Cricetulus griseus: one gene and its partner. The protein of the gene in region 1 interacts with the protein of each later gene in a pairwise test. Links are inferred from orthologs where the notes say so. Each region holds a gene or a part of one and is shown in the gene's direction. Other genes may lie near its edges.

Region 1 (3,500 bases):
CAGGAGAGCTGGAGAGCAGGCCAGTAAGAAAACTGGGCCAGGCAAGTTCATCAGAACACTCTGCTAGGAACAGCTCTGGCTTCATAGCTGCCTGTTTCCTTCTGTCTCTTTTGAAACACCATTGTCAACACGAGACTGACTTGTGAAAGATGAAAGATGGGATGCTATAAATCAGAGGAAAATATACTAAATGTTGATGAGCCAGCCCGACTGTACTTCAGACTCCTCAGAGGGTTCTCATTGTCTATCCTTGGATCCAGGAACAGGTGAAAGAATTAACACGAGACTTACTCTCTTTTTACTTTAAAGCATGAATGTCTTCCTGGGGGAGCCAAAGCCACATCGTGTCCTGTTAACTTCCACTTGCAGCAGCAGAGAACCATTTACTTCCTACTTTCAGGACATTCAGAAAATCATTTTTAAAGACATTTATGAGATCTAAGTATAATTATTAATAGCTTGATATGTGACAGCAATGATGAAATTGGCTTGACGGGGATTCTCTTCTATGATGTCAGCACTTAGTCAACCTTACCAGGGATTCCTCTCAGGTCTCTTTCTCTCTTTCATGAGACTTCCTTTTTGTGCATGTAAGGGAAATGTTCTTTAACCTCTGCCCCCTTCTTGAAACTCAACACACACACAGACACACACACACACCACGAAGGACCAAAGGATGAGGTTAAAAACTCACAGCAAGGGCTTAGCACTGGGAGAGCACAGACAGTCTGTTTCCAAGGCAGTTGTGATATCAGAGGAAACACAGAGTCCAGCTGTGGCCAAGACCATCAAGAAAAGGGTCTGCAACTCACCGGAGCAAATTTCCCAAGTCTGAATCATTATACATTACACTCGGTTGTTTCTGTAATGTCCTAGCTAGTGTTCCTTAGTCATCTAATTGTGTTTGACAGAGTGATGCAGTTGCTAGGAGACCACAATTGTTAAGTGAGCTTTGCAGCCGAGACTGGCGAAAACCATGCTCATTTCGCATTCAGTCGCCGCTGCTAGCTAGCCCCAGTCTCTGGCAGCGTGGCTGATCATTGCACTCAGGTGTGCCATCAGCAGGTTGGTCCTCATCGCCAGCCCTTCTTTAAACCAGAACAGTACAGGCAGGAAGAAGTCCATGGCTATTGGCTAGAAGAAGGCAGTCTGGTGTGTGGATGGTGAGTGTTGGCTCTGCAGAGAACCATCGGCTTGGACCCTGGATCCAGTCCCTACCAGCCATAGACTTTTGACAGTGTGGGTAACCTATCGGTGCATCAGCTTCCCTGTGTAAACTAGAAGTAATAGCAATATCTGCATCACAGTGTTGCTGTGGGAATTACATCTACCAAGCTCTGTGATAAGCATTACATGTTTTATGAACGTGTTTTCACCTTTATTCCTTTCTAATGAGATAGATGTGAATTCTGTAGCAAAGATGAGTTCTGTAATGTACACAAGCTAGGAAATCTCAGGACTAGGTTTTAGAATTGCACAGTACACTTGTAAAGCCCGAGTCCTTAGCCACATTTCCAGTCATAGACACCTAGAGCTCTGAGGACATGTTATAGGACACTTAATAAGTAAGCAAGTGCGGCTGTTGTTATTAGCAGTTATATAGAACTCAGCAGTGCAATACCTTAAGAGATGGCCCACAGCCTGCCTGCCTTGTTTAGGAGATGGGGCAAGGAGGGCATCTGTGATCTCATTGGAGATGGGCCCAGTTTTCCTCAAGATGACAGGATCTTCTCTACCTTGCTCCAGTCTTCTCAGAGGTTCCTATGTGTCTTCCAGGGCCAATTCGGTTACCTGGAACCCACACAAGATGATGGGCGTGTTGCTACAGTGCTCAGCCATTCTGGTCAAGGAAAAGGTTTGTACTCCCTCCAGAGATGTGCCGGCAGCAAGCACATCCCAGTGCTTGAGAAAGGAATGGTTGGCAGCCCCATTATGAGCCTGCAGACTGTCCTGTATGCCCTCCCAGCAACCTAACCTATATTTTCCCCTCAGCTCTTGTTGTCGGCTGCCCTTTGTCTTTGTTCAGTGCTGGGGTCCCTGTTGGTGATAGACCCTTCAGTGAAACTCTTTGAGTATTTCTTCATGTCTGCACAGACCTGAGTGTGATTACTGAGCCACTCAATCAATAAGAACAAACCGTGCTCACTGGAACCTACTTTGAATTCTTAGTGGATATTTGTAGTCTCCAGAGCTGAAAAAATTAGATGGACCGATAAACACAAATCCTGGCTTAAGACACCAGGGACTGTTAGCCAGAATACTTCTGTAAGGCCAGCAAGATGACTCAGTGAGTAAAGGTTGCTTGCTGACAAGCATGAGGCTCTGAGTTCTATCCCTGGGGCCCACATGGTGAAAGGAGAAACCAACTCCCTCAGATGTCTTCTGATCTCCCCTATACATCATACTGTACACATGTGTGCACACATGCAAATAAAAAAGTGTAATTTTTAAGAAAGCTCTGTAAATGCTTTGGAGACAGATTTTCTTCCTCCCCCACACCCAGTGCTCTGATGTTTCATAAGCCTGCTGCAGGAGAGGCACCCACTCCAGCCTGTCTCTTGTGGGAGTCAGAACCCACGTAGGCTCTCCTCTACTTAATTTCATAGGATGTCTTGCATAAATTGGAAGACTTGGAGGGGTAGTGTCTGGGGGGAAGGAAGTTCTTCACAGCACTAGCTTTTCCACCTGCTGAAGTTTGTACACCAAGCCCTGCCCAAAGAAGGACAACATAACTCCTCCTTGAATCTGACAAACCTCAGATGTCCCTTAGAGGCCCTTGTAGGCATCCAATACAAGAGGACATTTTCTAACCAGAGTGACAGAAGGCAAGGCAGGGTTGGGGGCAGACAGGCAGGGTTTTTTTCCAAGAGTGTCTTTAAAGGACATCTGAACTCACGAAAGGTCTGAGAAGAAAAGAGGTGTGGTTCCCAAATCCATCCTTGCACCCACAGCTCTGACTGGTGAATGCAGTTGCTTGTGTCTTGATTTCCATGACAGGGTATACTCCAAGGATGCAACCAGATGTGTGCAGGCTACCTCTTCCAACCAGACAAGCAGTATGATGTCTCCTATGATACTGGGGACAAGGCGATTCAGTGTGGCCGCCATGTGGACATCTTCAAGTTCTGGCTGATGTGGAAAGCAAAGGTATGAGGGGGAAATCCAGGAACCAGAACCGTGGCTAGCACAGACTAGCTGGTGAAGGACAGGCAGCGATGAATGGAAGATAATCCACTGAACACGTAACTGGGTCTGGATAACTGAGTTAACTATATTTTCCTTGTGAGCGGAGTAACTTCCTCCCTGTGTCAACCCTCTCTTCTTCAGCTCGTTCATCTTAGTTTGAATTAACATGGAAATGTCTTAGTCTTACAATTCTCTTTTTACTAAAAATTTTGCCAAGATAATGACTTCCATAACAACTCTTTTTTAAATTAAAAAAAATATTTTTTTTCTGTTTTGTGTATGTGTGTGTTTATGAGTGTGAGTGTTCATGTGCC
Region 2 (2,905 bases), on another chromosome or scaffold:
GTGGCCCCATAATGAAGCTTCCTGGTAGCCAGTTCCATCTCAGGGTAGAAGCTTGGGGGGAGCATGGTATGTCTACATCCTGTCTCTCTCCATAGGACTGTCCCTACTTTTCTGGTGAGAGTTGAAAACCAGATAGAACTGGACTGGTCTGGAGCTTGTTCAGAGATTGGGCATTCTGGGGACAGTTGCCCCCAGCACCTGCCTTGTGCTACCTGCATAAGGGCCAGTGGGACAGCACAACTCTGCCTGCCCCGGTGTCCTGGCTATGGGGATATGGGTCATTGCAGGGGTGACTGAAGACTGTGTGTGTACCACAGAAAGCCAGAACTACGCTCAAGTCCTAAGAAGCAGAGGTGACCTCTGACCTCTGAAACAGAAGAATCCTTCCCTCATGGTGTGTGTGTGTGTGTGTGTGTGTATGTGTGTGTGTGTGTGTGTGTGTGTGTGTGTATTCGCATGTGCGCTGCATTGGCTACTAAAGTTCCTGTGTATGATGACCTAGAACCCAAAGAACAAACTTCAAGCTGCCCAGGACACACGCTCAGATTCAACTTCCTTTTGCTGAAAACAAACACACTTGGATTGAATGTTCTCCAACCTTCTGTCTTAAGCGTAGCCCTCTCTGTCGTATTTAAGCTGTGTAACGCCTACCTGCTTCACACATGCCAGGTGTCAGTGTGATCCCTGGGCTGAGCCAACAGAGGTAACAAAGCAGCATAGCTATGCAGTGCCTGGGCTCAGAAATGCGTGCTTAACCAGAGCCCAGTCTGGACCAGGCTGCCCCTAAGCTTCCCAGATGGAAGCTCATTACCTTGAGCTCTTTTTTGGCAGGTACTATGTAGGGGACACTGTCAATGTCCTCTTCGAGAAATGGTTCTACTGCAAGGACCTTGGAACACAGTTGGCCCCCATCATCCAAGAGTAAGTCACCAGCTTGGCCCCACCCCTCACGGTCCTTCAGTTTTGTAACACCCACTGGACTTGAGCCATCAGGTGTGGAATTAAAGAGAGTCTCCCACCTTGGGGATAGGATGAGATGCTCTGCTGGGCTGGGAGGGAAAGTACGATAGGTGATCAAGTCATTCGAGGCTCTATGAATGTGTCCTGGCTCCTGCGTATGGTGTATGCCTCACTGGCATCCTAACAGGAGTGCTGCCATTCCCCTCCTGTCTGTTTGTCCCTGCAGGTTCTTCCGCTCTGAGCAATACCGGACAGGAAAGCCTGACCCTGGTGAGGCCGCCGACAGCCACATTCTCCTTCTCTTCCCTCTCTCCCTCCCTGTAGTGGATTGGGTATTGACCCAGGAACCCCGGGGTCCTCTGCCCAGAACTTCAAGCACTGAGCAAATGACACCAAGTAGCACCCAACTATGGCTGTTCAGCCATTAGGTTGCACCCAAGACCCATATATGCTATTGTGTTAGGGCCTCTGGGACCTGGGAATACTGGGGCTGGGTGGGCTGAGCCTGGAGGTCACTGCTCATCATTGTGTCGCTGGCACAGACCAGCTGCTCAAGGAGCCACCATTCCCATTGAGTACACGATCCGTCATGGAGCCCATGTCACTAAAGACCTGGCTGGATGGCCACTCCAGGGAGCTGCAGGCAGGCACATCCCTCAGCCTGTTTGGGGACACCTATGAGACCCAGGTAACACTCAACATCCATCCGTCTGGCACCTGGGAAGTGGGAAGTTGTGTGTGTGTGTGTGTGTGTGTGTGTGTGTGTGTGTGTGTGTGTGTGTGTATGTGTATGTGTAAGAGAGAGAGAGAGAGAATAGCTTTCCTGTTCTCTGTCTCAGAGTAACAGTATTTCTGTGGATGGAATTCTCTGGTAGATTCATGGTCCCACAGACACTTTTCTTTCAGAATGGGAAGTTCTTCACCCATTGTCACCTTCCTGGGTGCCTGCCACTTACCTACCCCTGGACTTTTGGCACATGGGAGCTTAGAGGCTGAAGGGAAAGAGTTATTTGGCAGAGGGCCGGGCAGCAATGTGTAGCGACCCTAACAAGCTGGCCTTTCATCTAATATTGCTCCTGCTTTGGTAAGAACAAGGCAATTGTTATGGACAAATTAACCCACAGCTGCCAGTCATGTGACAGCTTATTTACTAGAGTAACCATGGGAAGTTCTAGAAGGATAAAGAAAAAAAGTCAAGGAAGGCTCCTGGAGGAGATGAATTTTTTAATTAAAAAATTGATTTATAGCCAGGCGGTGGTGGCACACGCCTTTAATCCCAGCACTGGGGAGGCAGAGGCAGGTGGATCTCTGTGAGTTCGAGACCAGTCTGGTCTACAAGAGCTAGTTCTAGGACAGCCTCCAAAGTCACAGAGAAACCCTGTCTCGAAAACCCCCCACCAAAAATTTCTGATTTATTCATTTCACATTTATGCTTCTGTATGCTAGCCTGCGTGTATGAAAGCACATTACATGCTTGCCTGGTGCCCATGGAGGCCGGAAGAGGATGTTGGACCCTCTGGAATTGGAGATACAGATGTTTATGAATGACCCTGAGGGTCCTTTGTGAGGAACTCTAGGCATCCCTCCAGCCCCCAAGTAGAACTGTAAAGCCAGTGTACAGGCTTGCAAGAGGATGGGAGGGAGGCAGACAGAGCATTCTAGGGAAGGTAGAAACACAAAGTTTCGAAGAACAGAAACAGCCTAACCCTGCAAGCAGTTGAGGCTGGCCAGAACTAAGTGGAGAAGTTAGGATGGAAACTAGATTACTAACTGTTCCTGGAACTCTGCTGAGCTATACTTAGGGAGGGGACATGTCCTAGAGACAGTGGGGCTTCACCCAGGCATTGAGTGAGGAGACTAGAGAGGCATTTCAAAACGGTCATCCTTCCTTCGTAAGGCTGAGTTAGAGGACAAGGTGTAACAGGGAGCCCTACAAGGATCCTGG

The links. The genes of interacting proteins can lie anywhere in the genome.
Region 2: the proteins of Gad1 (region 1) and Haao interact in a two-hybrid assay, tested with the Homo sapiens proteins (4 studies listed by BioGRID and IntAct). The two-hybrid records come from large-scale screens. The link is inferred for Cricetulus griseus from reciprocal best matches to the Homo sapiens genes GAD1 and HAAO.

The regions. Positions count from the first base shown.
Region 1 is NC_048599.1:104,598,308-104,601,807, reverse strand, and holds part of Gad1 (glutamate decarboxylase 1), read left to right. Parts: intron 1-1,776; coding exon 1,777-1,855; intron 1,856-2,997; coding exon 2,998-3,147; intron 3,148-3,500.
Region 2 is NC_048598.1:85,454,603-85,457,507, reverse strand, and holds part of Haao (3-hydroxyanthranilate 3,4-dioxygenase), read left to right. Parts: intron 1-831; coding exon 832-921; intron 922-1,186; coding exon 1,187-1,230; intron 1,231-1,502; coding exon 1,503-1,648; intron 1,649-2,905. UniProt on the Homo sapiens protein: Catalyzes the oxidative ring opening of 3-hydroxyanthranilate to 2-amino-3-carboxymuconate semialdehyde, which spontaneously cyclizes to quinolinate.